Linked DNA regions of Coturnix japonica. The protein of the gene in region 1 interacts with the protein of each later gene in a biochemical or structural test. Links are inferred from orthologs where the notes say so. Each region holds a gene or a part of one and is shown in the gene's direction. Other genes may lie near its edges.

Evidence for each region. The genes of interacting proteins can lie anywhere in the genome.
Region 2: the proteins of WWP2 (region 1) and SMAD7 are reported together in a solved structure, tested with the Homo sapiens proteins (2 studies listed by BioGRID, with this or other methods). The link is inferred for Coturnix japonica from reciprocal best matches to the Homo sapiens genes WWP2 and SMAD7.

Annotation. Positions count from the first base shown.
Region 1 is NC_029526.1:17,008,581-17,017,023, forward strand, and holds the end of WWP2 (NEDD4-like E3 ubiquitin-protein ligase WWP2), read left to right. Parts: coding exon 1-27; intron 28-141; coding exon 142-213; intron 214-304; coding exon 305-393; intron 394-1,410; coding exon 1,411-1,570; intron 1,571-2,238; coding exon 2,239-2,372; intron 2,373-2,460; coding exon 2,461-2,601; intron 2,602-3,027; coding exon 3,028-3,148; intron 3,149-3,443; coding exon 3,444-3,548; intron 3,549-3,638; coding exon 3,639-3,735; intron 3,736-4,756; coding exon 4,757-4,829; intron 4,830-5,019; coding exon 5,020-5,119; 3' UTR 5,120-6,266; downstream 6,267-8,443. Other genes in the region: PSMD7 (26S proteasome non-ATPase regulatory subunit 7), read right to left, coding at 7,309-7,747. UniProt on the Homo sapiens protein: E3 ubiquitin-protein ligase which accepts ubiquitin from an E2 ubiquitin-conjugating enzyme in the form of a thioester and then directly transfers the ubiquitin to targeted substrates.
Region 2 is NC_029547.1:1,106,469-1,114,026, forward strand, and holds the end of SMAD7 (mothers against decapentaplegic homolog 7), read left to right. Parts: intron 1-2,154; coding exon 2,155-2,693; 3' UTR 2,694-4,020; downstream 4,021-7,558. UniProt on the Homo sapiens protein: Antagonist of signaling by TGF-beta (transforming growth factor) type 1 receptor superfamily members; has been shown to inhibit TGF-beta (Transforming growth factor) and activin signaling by associating with their receptors thus preventing SMAD2 access.

The DNA of each region.
Region 1 (8,443 bases):
TACCACCAATTCCGCTTCCTCTGCCACGTGAGTAGTGCAGCTGAGGGCTGCTGAGCCTGCAGGGCTGGGGGTGCTCATGGGTGCGCTGGTGATGTGGGACTGCCATGCCAGCCCATACAGCCTCGTGTCTGTGCCTTGCAGTCAAATGCCTTGCCCAGCCATGTGAAGATCAGTGTTTCCCGGCAGACTCTCTTTGAGGACTCCTTTCAGCAGGTGAGGGGGTGTAGGGCTGGCAGAGCCCTGGGTGGCACAAGGCTGTCCCCCTTTGAGCATCCCACAGTGATGTGCTCCTTGCCCCCTGTAGATCATGAACATGAAGCCCTACGACCTGCGGCGCCGCCTCTACATCATCATGCGTGGTGAGGAGGGCCTGGACTATGGCGGCATTGCCAGGTGAGTGTGGGGCCACGTGTCTGCTGTGGGGCTGGGTGAGCCCCCCATGGCATGAAGCCTTCTGGTAACAGGGCTCAGGGTTCCTGGCCCTCTTCCAGTGCCTGCTCAGGGAGAGGAGGTGAGAACAGTGTGAGTTCTGGGAAGGCATTATTGCACTCCCTGATCCCTTGTACAGGGAGGGCTGGGGGTCCAGCAGCCCTCAGTGCGCTGTGATGGGCTGAGCTGCCTCCTCTCCCTCCAGGACAGGCACTGGTGTTTCTTCTTGAGACGGGCGGTGTGTGCCAGGGCAAATGTGGTGCTGCTGGCTTCCACCATCTACCCAGTGGATGGTGCCATGTGGCACTCTGCTGTGCCTCCAGCTGGAGGGACTGTCTGTTGTCCCCTGGCCATCCTGCCTTGGGTGTAAGGCTTAGTGGTGGGCTTGCACTGCCTCTTCTGCCCCAGAACCCGTGCTGCAGTGTGCTCCCCACCTCCTCCTTCCCAGTGATGCTGCTGCTGGCTGTGGGCAGGGCTCCTGCTGCCTGTGTCTCTCTGTGTCCTGCCAGTGGTTTTACCCTATGGTAGGTTACGTCATGCTGTTCTACCACAGGGTAGAACCACGGACGGGATGCCGGGGCTGCCTCTGCGTCCGAGGACTGCCAGTGGTGGGGGAGCAGAGTGAGGGCTGCGCCTGTTCTGCACTGCTTTGAGTGGGAAACTGGGGGGGGGGGGAGAGGGTTGTGGAGAAGGATAGCTGGTGTTTGTGGGCACTGTACATGTGTGCACAGGCACATGTGCACGTGTTTGACAGGCTGGTTTTTCCTTACTGATGTCTTCAGAGGCACTTTGCGGCTGGGTCCTGGGCTGCACAATACTCTCAGCAGGGCTCAGTGCCTGCCCTGCACCCCAAGGAGCTGGGCACTGTCTGTGCAGCCATGTTTCATGGGCACAGGGCTGTCCCCACTGCTGGGACAAAGCCTCCCATAGCAGACCCAGGTGCTGATGTCTGCTCACCACTTTTCCCTTCCTCTTGCCCAGGGAGTGGTTCTTCCTCCTGTCCCACGAGGTGCTCAACCCCATGTACTGCCTCTTCGAGTATGCCGGCAAGAACAACTACTGCCTGCAGATCAACCCCGCCTCCTCCATCAACCCTGACCACCTCACCTACTTCCGTTTCATCGGACGCTTCATCGCCATGGTAAGAGCCCGGGGCCGGGGAGCCCTGCTTGGCATAGTCACCTTTTCTGAGCACTTTCTTGCTCAGTGTGTGCCCAGAGGAAGAGTGGCCATAGCAGCATGAGGTGACGTGTTGCAGGGCTGGGGCTGGCCATGAGGCTGGGGTCACAGTTTCCTGGGGCTGTGCCTCCAGGCTATTGGCTGCCACCCGGTGCTATCAGCTCTGCAGCCCTGGGGCTGTTTTTAGCCCCAGCAGTGTGAGGTTTTCCAGCTGCCCCTGCCTGGCTCCTCCTGTTGTTCTCACCCTCCCCAGGGCCTGGTGGGCAAAGGGCTGCAGTGGTACCAGATGGGGCAGGGTCTGCCCAAAATGCTGCGCCCTGCCCTGCCCCACGCCTTGCAGGATCCCAATAAAACTCCAGACTATTACTCACCGCTGGGCTGTTCTAGACAAGCGTCTGCATTATTTTTGGCTGCCTTTGCCTTGGGGCTCCTGGAAGCCAGGGATTCAGGGAAGCCACGGCAGAACTCTGTTTAAACAAGTGCTCTTAATAGAGCTGCGACGGGAGATGGAGATGCAGTGGAATTCATGGTGGGGAGGGGAAGGGGTTGCGAGCCCCGTGCTGTGGGTCCAGCCGTGGTCTGCAAGGAGCCCATCCTGGTCCCTCTGATCCCCATCTCCGCACCCTTTAGGCTCTGTACCACGGGAAGTTCATTGACACCGGCTTCACGCTGCCCTTCTACAAGCGGATGCTGAACAAGCGGCCCACACTGAAGGACCTGGAATCCATTGATCCAGAGTTCTACAACTCCATCATCTGGACCAAGTGAGTGCCTTGCACTCGGGGATGGTGGGGAGGGAGGGTGGGTGCAGTGCTCCCCCTGTGACCTCTCACATCCCGGTGCCCTCTGCAGGGAGAACAGCCTGGAGGAGTGCGGCCTGGAGCTCTACTTCATCCAGGACATGGAGATCCTGGGCAAGGTGACCACCCATGAGCTGAAGGAGGGCGGTGAGAGCATCCGGGTGACAGAGGAGAACAAGGAGGAGTACATCATGTGAGTCTGGTCCTGATGCCACATTGGGCACTTGGCTTCAGGGCAGCACTGGGTGGGAGCGTGGGGCTGGGGATGTGGCCCCTCCTTGGCTACGTGGCTTTGAGAAGCCCGAGCTGGCGCAGCACTGCACTGCAGTCTGGCTGCCTGTGGTCTGGGCGGCTGCCAGGGCTCTCAGGGAAGAGGAGAGGGGAGAGAGGGTGCAACTCCTTGCCTCGCCCCATGCTGCTCACTGGCTTGTGTATTGCGGGGCTGCTGGGGCCACTGTGGTGCTGCTGGTGATTCCCTGATGGCGACTGCTCAATAATCAGAGCCCACTTCTGCTTGTGGGCTGTGGGAAGCAGTGGGAGGGAATCGTGGAATCCTGAAGGGTGAAAGATGGTGAGGAGAGCCCCGGTGCCACCCACGGACTCCTACCTGCCTTTGCAGGCTGCTGACAGACTGGAGGTTCACTCGGGGTGTGGAGGAGCAAACCAAGGCATTCCTGGATGGCTTCAACGAAGTGGTGCCACTCGAGTGGCTGCGGTACTTTGATGAGAAGGAGCTGGAGGTGAGCGGGCCCTGCCCCAGGCCGGCCATTGTGGTGCCCATGGGGTGTCTGAGCTCTGCTCAGCCTCGATCTCTTGATTTCACCTATTGGTTCAGAGATGTGCCCACCCAAGGCAGCAGGGGCTGCAGGGCTGCCTGTTGGGTCTCTTGGTGAGAACTTCTCATCGGAGGTGCAGAATTCCCTTGTACGCTTTTGTTGCTCAAGCTCATGCCTTGCACAGCCCCAAAAGACTCAGTGCTGTGATGTGTGAACACGGGGCTGTATTTCCATCCCCCTGACTGTCCTCCATCCCCAGCTGATGCTGTGCGGCATGCAGGAGATCGACATGAACGACTGGCAGAAGAACACCATCTACCGGCACTACACCAAGAACAGCAAACAGATCCAGTGGTTCTGGCAGGTGAGCCCCAGAGCCTTCATGTGCCACACTCAGGGCTGGGCGCTGCCTGAGGCTGTGGGGTGATGGGGATCCTCCTCCCTGTGCTTGCAGGTGGTGAAGGAGATGGACAATGAGAAGAGGATCCGCCTGCTGCAGTTTGTGACGGGGACGTGCCGTCTGCCTGTCGGGGGCTTCGCGGAGCTCATCGGTGTGTGACCACGCTAAGGTTGGGTGGGGAGGGGGATGATGGCCATGCCTGGCTTTGGTTGCTGGGGCCAAGTGTTCACATTCCCATTGTAGCAGGGCAGTGATACAGCTGCAGTGACATCTGAATAAGGCAGTGTGGTTGGTGCTGTGCTAAGACAAATTCCTTGGGCGTTAGCTGTGCCACTGCAGTTAACTTTGTCAGCCCAGTTTGTAGCCTCATTTTGAATGAGATTTTAGTGGGTTTTTTTGGGGCATCTTCATGGTAATGGTGACGGAGCACTGGAACAGGTTGCTCTGAGAGCTTGTAGTCTCCTTCTATGGAGATATTCAAGACCTGTCTGGATGCTGCCTGTGTGACCTATTGTGGGTAACCTGCTTTAGCAGGGTGTTGGACTGTATGATCCCTTGAGGTCCCTTCCAACCCCTGTGACTCTGTGTTTCTGTTTATTTAATTTTAATTTTTTGTGCTATGAAACCCCTTTTTTGGAAAACCATATTGTGGCATGACTCTGTGCCTGCCCTTTAATTTGCTGCTTTTTGGGGCCCCTAGCAGCCTGCCCAGTGTCTTCCTGGAACTGATGTGTACCAGCTAACTTAACCCGTTCGGTTATCCTTACTGCCATATCAGCCTTTTTCCAGCCCCCTGAAGCCTGTCCAGGGCCATTTGTTAAAAGCAGCCTCAGTGACTCAGACCTCCTGAGCCAGGTCCCTGCAGCGTGCAGGCAGACTGCTGGGTCCTGTGGCTCCACAGATGTGTGTTTCAGCACTCACTGCTGAACCACCTGCCTTGCACTCGGTGCTGTGTCACTGCGTGCTCTGGAAAACACTGTTCTGCTTTTCCTTTGGATACTCATCCTCTCTGTAGAGGGCTCAGAACAAGCTTTGAGTACAGCTCTGGGTTTGTTGCCCCCACGTGCTGTAGGATCATAGGGCTGAGTCACTCTGCTGGCTGTAGGGCCAGGTCAGAGTTCTTTTTCAGCTCCTGATCATGTAATGAGATCGGTTCTGCTCACCATTAACAGGCAGCAACGGGCCTCAGAAATTCTGCATCGATAAAGTTGGCAAAGAGACGTGGCTGCCTCGGAGCCATACATGGTGAGTGGCTGCTGTGTGGGGCACATGGTGGTGTCCCTGTGGGGCTGCGTGGGGCTCTGGCTGCCCGTACGCCTTTCTCCCTTGGGATGGAGCTGCTGGGGAGACCTGTGGGAGGGGAACCCTGTGGTGGGGAGCAGGGTGGCAGCAGTACTGGGCTCCCTGCCCTGCTCACAGCGCCCTGTCTCACCAGCTTTAACCGCTTGGATCTGCCTCCCTACAAGAGCTACGAACAGCTGAAGGAGAAGCTGCTGTATGCCATTGAGGAGACAGAAGGCTTTGGCCAGGAGTGATGGAGCCCTGCTGCTCTCTCAGCAGCTCCGGCGGTGCTCATAGCACTGCTGCCTGTGGGATGGTGCGGGCGGTGCTGATTCTGTTCTTATTCCTGTATGAGGTCTGCACTCACAGCTCCGGGGAAGCATCCACGTGTCCCTCCCAACCCAAACTGAAGTTGGGATGGGGAAGTGGGGGTGAAATCCCGTCCCTGCTCAGCCTGGGGCTGAGGAAGGGCCAAGCCCAGCCTCGTGCACACAGTGTGCACCACAGCTCCCGTCCCCTCGCTGGGATGCTGGGGGGATGTGGGTCCTGCATGGGGCTTTGGGCTGCGCTCCCTGTCCCAGCGGCTGCTCCATGTTAGTGGGGTTGTCCCTGTTTGTGGGAAATCACTGTGCACCTGGAAATGGACACAAACAGCTTCTGACTGATGCGCTGAAGCCAAACCCCAGTTGTTATTCAGTTTGTTTTGCCCCTCTCCCTGTAGCAGTACCCAGCCCTTCCCCCTGTGACACATGCCACCAATGGACTCCAGCCCTGACTTAACGAGCCAGGCTGGGGCTTTTCCCAGACTTAGATGTGAGATCTGGTTTAGGTGTAGGCTATTCCCCTCTAATTTTTTCAGCCTTCCTGTGGCGTTTCAGTAGATACATTGAGGATGAGAAGGGGCTCTTGCGCTGCCTCAGGTGCTCATAAAGGTATGTGTCTGGCCCCTATCCTGCTCCCAGCAAAGTACTGGGGTGCAGGCAGGGCTGGGCCTGGCACCAAGCTCCACCCTGCTACTGTGTTCTGAGTTGCCAGCGTGCAGTGCAGCCCTGTGCTGTTTGGTATTTAAAGCACGTGCTGGGAGCTGGTGCTCTGCAGCTTGTGTGAGGCTCTACCACCCCCATCCTGTGCTGTGCCAGGGCCTTCCAGAACTGTGATAAGGGCAGGATCAGGCCCTGCCTGTGGCCCTGTTGTAGCCAGGGTGAAGGGCCGTGGTGTCCTGGCAGTGGTTCTAGGACAGGGCCTTGGTGAGCAAGCGTTGGTGTGTGTATATCTGTACATAAATGAAATCGTGGATACAAAGCTCTGCAATAGCTTCTGACTGGTGACCGGAGCGTTTTGTACTGCACCATTCTGCCTCAGTGATGCCGATTTCTTGTGCAATAAAAGACAAGCAGCTGCCATGGTGCGTCCCTGGCTGGTGTCACAGTGCAGGGACAGCCCCCTGCCCCCCCCAGTGGATGAGGCTGGAGGTTGGGGTACCCTCCATGCCCCTATTTCAGGAGCAGGGACAGCTCTGCTCAGAGCTGTGGCCACTAGGTTGGTTTCTATGAATACATACATACATTCCATCTGTTTTTCTGTGCACACACGGAGGCGCCTTCCTTGCATTGGGGGTCTGGCTGGGTACAGCGGCTGTCTGCCTCCCCCAGCCTGTAATCATGCTTAGTTAAAAATGGCTCTGGGCTGGCTGGCTGGCCGTGGTTCTGTGGCTGCATGCCCGCAGCTGGGTGCCATGATGAACATGTCCCCTGTAATTAGTGGGCTGCAGCCAGGGCGGGAGGGGTGGGTATGGCTGGCACAGCACAGTGGCACCACCCTCACGGGGATGCGGTGCCACTGGGGCTTGGATGCTGTCATGCTGTGTGTGGTGCTGGGACACAATGCTGACAGCTGTGAGGCAGCAATGGAAATCAGGCACATGAGCACAGCATCCCTGGGAATTGCAGCTCTTGGTTTTTTAAAAAAAAAGCAAAAATCCAGCAGCAGAACTAAAGAAGGCTGCTATTCACAGCACCAGGGGCCAGCCAGCACCCCATAATTTTGCCATCGCTTTGCTTTTCAGCAGCACTTGCGATGGGTTATTATTTCTTTAACAGACTGTACTTGTGCCAGTATGGCACAGCCCACTCCCGAAATTCATTTGCTATGGGCCGGGCTGCATTGCTGTCTGTCAGCCCCAGGCACTGACACAGCCCAGCCCACCCTGGATGTATCCATACACCACATACAGCCAGACCACAGCACCCAGTCACAGCAACTCGCTCCTTGTGGCAGCTTCTGCCACTTTGAGTCCATTTGTACAGCCATGTCATAACAAATGCAGTGAGATTAAAAGCAGCCAAAGCCCAGAGCACTTATCACTACAAAGGAAAAGAACCCAGCAGCAAAGTGACTTAGTTTACAAGATTTTTTTAATTTACAAATAAAAAAACTACACATTTTACTTTTTCTCTTTTTTCTCCTCTTTCTTGACATCGCTCTTCTCCTTGTCTTTCTCCTTCTCATCTTTCCTCTCCTTTTTACTCTCTTCTTTTTCCTGTCCTTCCTTCTTCTCTGCATCCCTATTGGCAATCTTGTTATTGATGAGGTTGTGCAGGGCAACCACTGAGCGGATAAGAGAAGCCAGGTAAACAACCACCATCTGGTCATTGGTCTTCAGGTAAAAGGCCTTGACAAATTCCTGCAGGTTGACGTCCGGTAGCAGGTTGAAGACATCCTGAAGGTGGTAAATGATCTGGTGATTGATGGGGAGCTTGCCCATGGCTACTTTCTCGAGGTAGCTCCTGATGTCCAGAAGCTTGGAGTTCAGTCCCTTCAAGCCATGGACCTGATTTGTGATCCGCTGGGACAGGGTGCCCACCGTGGTGTCCTTGATGTCTCTGAAACATGCGTAACAAAGATTCCACATTAGAATGTTTGCTGTGTACTCATCAACAAGCTGTGCAAGCTGTGTGTATTCACTAAGAGGTCTTCCCTGTTTAGAAAGAACGGCAGTCGCAAGAAGGGGTGAAGCACAACTAAGCAGAACACTTGAAGTCAAAGAATGAGATCAAACTGATTTACATTACAAAGTGTGTCTAAAATAGGTCGTTGTATGCTTTTGTGCAGAAATGCTACCTCTGGAATAGTAGTAATGATGTTAGGGGATAGAAAGAAAGAAGCCAACGGGATTCCCAGCAGGTGAAAAGGCTGTGCAGCATGGATGGGGTGACTGCTCTTTTCCTGGCTGGCAAGCTTTGCCAGTTTGTCAGCTGCAGCTCCAGCAGCTGTGCTCCCACTCAGTCCTGCTCTGCAATGTATGCAGGGGCTGAGATGGTTCCAAACCATGATATTCCAAAGCTTTGAAACTATGACAGTGTAGCTATCATTATTCTATGGAGATTCAGTGGGCAGTTACACTTTTCACTAGCAATGACTGAACGTGCCAAGTAGGACTGCTAAGGGAACACACTTTTAGCACATAAGCAACATGTTTCACAAGCCCTGCATTTCCTCCAGGGAGCTGGCACTGGGAGATGCCAGATGGACCACGTTCCCTGCTGTGCAAGTCTCACAAGAAAGCTCTCATCTTAAAG
Region 2 (7,558 bases), on another chromosome or scaffold:
CTTCATCAGTTTTTCCTTCTTTCTTATGACCTGCTCTCTTGCCCCGGTGACGCCATTGGCTTTTCCCATTCATTCATTCAGTGGGAAACACCGGTGCCAAAAAAAGAGGGGAGCAGGGAGGTCCCGGCAGTGGTGAGAAGCAGCACCATTGGGGCTGGCAGAGGGCCTGGCCTTGTGTGATTCCCATGGCTGCTGGAACAGACAACCCAGCCAAAAGTGGAGCTCGTGGGCGGAAGGCGCTGTGCCGTATTTACACCGCGCGGTCCAGAATCCCGGATTACCTAAGCCTTGTCCGTGAGGTCTGCTCACCCCATGCCATTGAAAACCCGAGTGGGATTCATTCATGAGCTCCAGCCCTCCACAGAGCTCTGTTCATTCATCGCCAGGGCGGTTGGCTTCTGCTTTTTTTTTTTAATATATTTTTTTAAAATGCAATTAAATACCTCTTTGTACACTGGGCAGAGCCGCTCGTTAAGGGGTCTTCTCAAACGCAGGCTCAAACAGGGGGTGAAAAAGGCCTTTCTGCCCCTATTCCCCCCTCCCCGCCCACTCCTGAAAGGGATGCTTTTATGTTAAAGAAAATAAACAGAGGGATTTTAGCGGGGTTCAACAGCTTCTACAAAATTCCCTCCACTGCTGTAAAGCAGAACGCGTGTGAGCTGCAGTGGCTGCACTTACTATGGGGGATAATAGCAGGAGGGGGAGAGTCGGTGGGGGTTGGATTTTTATATTTATTTATTTTTACAACCTAGCTTTGCTTTCCCGACTCTCCAAGCAGACGGCGAGTTAAAACATCTCAAAATACCAAATATAAAATGAAAAAGTAAATAAAAAACAAGCCCATGGGGAGGGTGCGGCAAGGGGGGGCGGGGAGGGCACAGCAGCATTTACATCACCCCACATGGCTCTGGTTTTTGGGGGGAGGGGGAGTGGAAAAACACCCTCCCAGGGGTGTTTCTTGCTGCACCCCTCCCCTCCCAATCCCCCTGGGACACTCTCCTTATGGGGCCATGACCCCCCATGGCTGTGTGTGACTGCAGAACTCTGTTCCTTGCTGGCACTGAAATGAGGAAATAATGAGCACTGCAAGGCTGCCGGTTCTGGAGCTGCTTTTTATTGTTGTTTTTGATATAAAAAATGCCTGTGCTGGAGGAGCAGCAAGAAGTCATAGGTGAACGACACAGAAAATACTGAAGATAGTGACATTAAGGCTTGGGGTGGGGTGTGAGGGAAGGGGGGTGTTGCTGGGTCACCCCCATACTTTCCTGCAGCCTGGTTGCATTTTGGTATTTTTAAGTGCAGTTATAGAGATGAATGGTTCCCAGGTCCCAACATGGTGCAAAGGCCATGAGGGATTATAGAGCAGCACTGGGTGCGGATGCTGCATTGAGGAAGGGGGTTTGGTGCTACTCAGCCCCCCTGGCCCCTTCCCCTGATGTCAAAACCCCTTTCCAGAGGATGGAGTCGAGATAAGGGCAAAGGGAACTAAGTTTTGGGTGGCTTTTGTGGTTTTTGGGGTGGCTTTTCTTAACAGCACACAGCTTCTGGCCTTCACCCTGCTGCTATCCACTAGGTTCACCCTCACCTGGCTCCATGAAAGCCTCAAAATGGGGCAGCTGAGCCCAGGGGTGGTGTCCTTTGAGCTGCTTTTGGAACTATGTCTTGTTTTATCATGCTGCCTCTGCACAGTGGGTGATAATTTGTTCCTGGAGATGGACTGTAGGGTGTTTGGTTGCACCCCTGGTAGGCTCAGTGATCATAGAATCATCACAGAACAGTGGAATCACAGAATGAGGACCTTGAAGGTCATGGAACTGGAGGATGGTTTGTTTAGAAGGGTCCTTGAAGAGCACTGAAGTGGAGAATGTTTGGATTGGAAGGGACATCAGAGATTATGGATGGATTGGGTTGGGTTGGAAGGGACCTTAAAGACGCCCAGATTCCAACCCCTTGCCATGAGTAGTGCCATCTCCCACCAGGCCAGGTTGCCCAAGGCCCCATCCTGCCTGGCCATGGGCAACTCCAGGGTGCTGAGGTTGTCAGGGTATGTGTGGAGAGCACCGTGAAGGGGTGGAACTCATGACATTGCATCACTTTGGTATCTGAATGCCCCCACAGTCCTCAATTTCTCCATCTTTTTGTCTCCCCCCGTAGATTCACAAGTTCTTCAGGAGTCAGGGGATCACTCACACTGGTGCGTGGTGGCATACTGGGAAGAGAAGACGCGCGTGGGTCGGCTGTACTCTGTCCAAGAGCCCTCCCTGGATATCTTCTATGATCTACCTCAGGGGAACGGCTTCTGCCTCGGGCAGCTCAACTCGGACAACAGAAGCCAGCTGGTGCAGAAGGTGCGCAGCAAGATCGGGTACGGCATCCAGCTCACCAAGGAGGTGGACGGCGTGTGGGTCTACAACCGCAGCAGCTACCCCATCTTCATCAAGTCGGCCACACTGGACAACCCCGACTCCAGGACGTTGCTGGTGCACAAAGTGTTCCCGGGTTTTTCCATCAAGGCTTTTGATTATGAGAAGGCGTACAGCCTGCAGAGGCCAAACGACCACGAGTTCACGCAGCAGCCATGGACTGGATTTACCGTGCAGATCAGCTTTGTGAAGGGCTGGGGCCAGTGCTACACCAGGCAGTTCATCAGCAGCTGCCCGTGCTGGTTAGAGGTTATTTTTAATAACCGATGACACGAGACGGAGCGGACTCATGACATTTATACTACTTTGCTGCTATTACTTCCTTCTGAGTGCTTGCTTTTCATGCAACCTTTTTGTTTTTGTTTCGTTTTGGTTGTTGTTTTTTTACCCCCCGCCACGCATCTCCCCCATTCTGAGAAATAGCTCGTGGAAAGATTTTCGCCCGGGTATTTTGATAAATAGAGCTATTTTTTAGAAGTGCAAACGACCAATAAGGAGGGCATGTGGGGCAGATCACATATGATAATCATTTCCCACTTCCCAAAGGATTATCCTGTGTGATGAGTGGGTTGGGAGCCACTTGTTCTTGGGTAGCGTGGTGGGATCCCTGTATTTTTCATGCCCTCCCCCCATCCCAATGTTGGTGACACCCAACTGATACCCTTCCCCAGCAGCGGTGCACAAACTTCCCACCAGGTCTTACCCTACCTGTGTCGTTTTTGCCATTGAGTTTTCTCATTGGGTCGTCGCTGTTGTTGGGTTCGCATCCCACCCCCCCATCTTTCCATGGTGTTTTATATCATCAAGGATTGATACAAGAGGAGAAAACGACAACGAAGAAACCACGCGTGGCCCACGCTTTGCAATTGGAGCTGAGTTGTGAAGTAAGCCTAGGGAATAAAAAACAAAACAACTACAAAAAAAAACAACATGAAGCAAAACAAAACAAAAACAAAAGAAATATGGGGAATATAAAGCGTCGAGGGTAGTTGGTCTGTCGGAACCTGTTGGATCAGGTTATCCCAGTGCCATCGTATCTGGAGACGCCGTTGTGCTTTCATTTCTTCTTGAATTCATACACACGTATGATACTTTTACACTGTTCTTAGCTCAATGAGCATGTTTAGACCTTAACATAAGCTATTTTTCTAAGTACAAAGGTTTAAATGAACAAGAGAGCATTCTCATCGGAACTTTGGCATCGTAGTGCTTTGGAAAGAAAACACACAGACACACAAAAAAAGGACTTCTTAAGAAAAAAAAAACCTGAGATTTATTAAAGAAGAGGAAAAAAAAATGTATTTTATGTTATATATAAATATATTATTACTTGTAAATACAAAGACGTTTTATAAGCATCATTATTTATGTATTGTGCAATGTGTATAAACGAGAAAAATAAGAGAAGATGCACTTTGCTTTAATATAAATGCAAATAACAAATGCCAAATTAAAAAAAAAAAAAAGAAAAAGAAAAGAACATGAGATTGGTGGTTTTTTTCTATGGGTGTTCTCATCCAGATGAATGTTTTGTTTTGTTTTGTTTTTTTTCTAAAGGATTTTATGTTCCATGAAAAAAATAAAAACATACACTTGACCCTCGGTGCGGAGTGGCTTTGTTAGAGGTGTGGAGGAGCAGCGTGAGGGGTTTTCCTATTGCTTGTCGTTTCAGGTTGAGCTCACCCCCATGGCAGCAGCCCAGTGTTCATCCTGTATCATCCTGTCCCTAAAATACGATGGCTTTTATGCCAGCGTGCCATCTGGGTTGCTCCGCAGGTCCATGGCTTTGATTGGAGCTCTGCATCGCATCCAGTGTGTCCTCAGCAGAAGTTCCTGTAGCTGATTGAGCTCCTACCTTTGGTGGAAGCTCACCAAAGTTTCTGAGTGGAAACTGCTGGCCCTGTGGAGCCTGAGGGCTTTGGAGAGGTGCAGCATCTGTGTCTTGGATCCTATTGGCCTTCATGTGGTGGACAGATGCGGTAGTTGAGGAGTCATTGTGAGCATCAAGAGCGGGTTCACCCAACGCTGCACCTTTCTGTTCAACATTCCCCACCCAAAGGGATTTATTGAGATATAGAGTCTGCTCTGAATGGACTATACCTTCATCTGGATTCCTTTCACCGAGCCCACCAACCAGCTTCAAAATGGTTTTGGATCATGTGTTTGTACCCACCCGTCTTGTTTGGTGTGCCCTGAAGGTGACCAAGAGGGCAGACATTAGTGTGTCTTCATCTACAGTACAATTTGCCTCACTTCCTTTCCGTTCCGTCCACCAGACATGAAACACTCAATAACCTCACATGACCAGTGGTCAAACCAGCAATGATGGTTTGTGTAAGAGGTTCAAGGAAAAATGTTCTGGCCCATTCCATGGTACCCCCCACCGAAGGCCCCGAAGATGAAGGATAAAATGGACATCATTGCAAAACTCAGCTGTGACTGCTCACCAGGAACAAGTGTCTTCTGGGGTTGGGAGATCCTCTGCACATCCCATTTTGCACCTTGTCCTGAGCAGTTGCCTCTTGCAGGAGAAGCGCTGTGCTGGCTGGATCTTTGGTTGGGCCTTTGGTTCAACCTTTGTTTGGAGCTTTGGTTGGACTTTTGTTTCAATCTTTGGTTGGATCTTTGGTTGCGGTTTGGTTTGAACATTGTTAGGAACTTGGACCTTTGGTCGGACGTGGCTTGCCAGGTTGGATGTTGTGGTGATGGAGAATGAGCTGAAACACCCCAAAGAGCCCTTCATTGTATGGGGCCTCTTAGTCTCATCTGTAAAAATATAAGACCAGGCATCACTGTTTGATGTCCGAAGGCTGAGAGATAATCAGCAAAACTACAGCTTTTCAATACTAATGCAGCTTGAGTTAAAGTGTCCCAGACTTCACTTCCTGCTGAGCTAATTTTAGTCCCTTTTCAGTCCTTTTTGTACCCTTTTCAGTGAAAAAAAAGTCCTTTTTGGTGAGCTGTAAACTTGCTCTGCACCGTGGCTCCAGATTAACTGGCATTAAAATGTCCTGATGATATCCTGCACCACTGTAAATTACAGCACGATTGTGCCCTTTTTCCTCATGTTGCCAAGTGGTAATTAAAGAGTGCAATAAAGAAGGGTTAAAGCATGTTGCTTTCTGCTGATATATGTGGAGTCTGCTCAAACTGTCAGCAAACAAGAGGGAAGTCTCCATAGTCTTGAGATCTTTGGAGCAAGTGGTTTCCATGGGGCAGAGCCATGCTCCCTGTTGTATTTGGATAATGTTCTGTATGGGACTCGTTCCCCATCTGCCCTGAGGACTCCAAGGAATTAATGGGCTCTTGTCTCACAGATTATTAACAAGTCTATTGCCTGAAAGGATCCATTTTATACATCCATTGGGTGAAGAGACCCATGGAGTCACCATTGAGTGAAGGGATCCATGAAGAGATCCGTTGGGTGAAGGGACCCGTGGAGACATCAACAGGGTGAAGAGGACCCATGGAGTCATCACTGGGAGAAGGGGCTCATGGAGATGTCTGTTGGGTGAAGGTACCAGGTCTGGGATGGACCCCTAGTGCCACCAGGCCCTATGGTGCCTGAGCTAGGATGAGTTTGGTCCCAGCTACTCCCTGCAGCTGGCCAGATGAGAATGCCCATGTCAATGTGCTCAAAATGTGGGGAAAATCTCATTCCAGCCCCAAATGTCTTGCTCAAAGTACCCTACAAAACTAAGGAGCAGGTGAGTCCCAGATCCCATCACTCGACCAGCGAAGGGACATAACACATGGATGTAACTCATGGGTATAACACATCTCCTGGGCTCATCAGCTCATTTCAAAGCCAGTGTCCAGGGATGAATAGGTCAGAAAACAATCTTGACCTCCCATCAGCAAGGCAAACTGAGAGCCTGAAGGAGCAGGAAAACTGAAAAGAGCCCTATTGCAACCAGGTGCCCATTGAAAGCAAGCAGAAACCTGGTGTCAAGGCATTCTCTGGGGCATGGGTGACATCAGGGAATCCAGATTTCTTGATGGCAGTGGGAGTGAGGCAGCAATGTGTGGACAGAGTTCATGGGTGTGGGGCTGTGGGCAGCGAGTCCTTGGGTTCTGCTGCAGAACCAAAGGGCACAAAGTGGTGATGCAATGAACCTGAGCCTCTGGGGATGCTCTGTGATGGACCTTTCGCACTGTCACCCCTGCTGCTCCTGCACCAAAACTCAGAGATGGGGGTCACACCAAGTTCAGAAGGTGAATTTTTCACCTGAGGCATATTCTTGTTGCAGGAAGACAGAGCTCCAGACTGGGATCTGCTTTGTCACCTTCTGTGTCCCTACACCATGGGATCATGGAATCATTGAGGTTGGAGAGGACCACTCAGATCACCCATAAGTGAACACCCACTGCCGCTGTTAACACTCCATCACACTCTGATCTCAGTGTCTCAATATCAGCACTGCATCCATCAATGGATGAGTGCATCAAGGTGCGAGGGACAATGGCAGAGGTGCACCTCAGTGATCACTGGGCTGGAGAGGAGCTCTGAAATCCCCATGCCTGACCACAACCATCCTCCTATCTCCACTGACCACATCCCCAAGCATAGGGGTGCAGGAAGCAGCACAGGACCCATAGCATAACCCATCCCGGAGGTCTTGGTGTGCCCCCTCCCACCCTCTGCTCCATCCCAACACAATGTTGCTTTCAGCTCTTTATTTTTTCCCCTCTCAGCTGTTTTTGGACCTCATTAAAAAAACACTGCAAAAGCTGCTGTTAATTAACCTTCCTCCAGTTGCTTCCCCTCCTCCTGCTGCCCCTCCTTCAGCCTCTCTCATTTTTGTGCCCCCCCCTTCACATGGAGGCTCTCCTGACCCCTTACAGTTTGTATGACACCACAGGGGTGGCACACAGGGGATGCATATGGGGTATATGGGGTTGGGGCACATGGGATGGCACAGGTAGGGGCGGCACACATAGGGATGGGACATCACAGGGGTGGTATACAGAGGACAGAGGTCACCCGCTGTCCTGCTGTGACCCCCTGCAGGCGCCCTGCGGCGGTGCCCGTCTGTCCGGGCTCCCTTCCAGGCACGTCATGGGACTCCCAGCAAATCCCTTGGGGCCATCCGATCCCGGGGACGCCGGCACCCAGCGCTGCCGGCGCCGCTCAG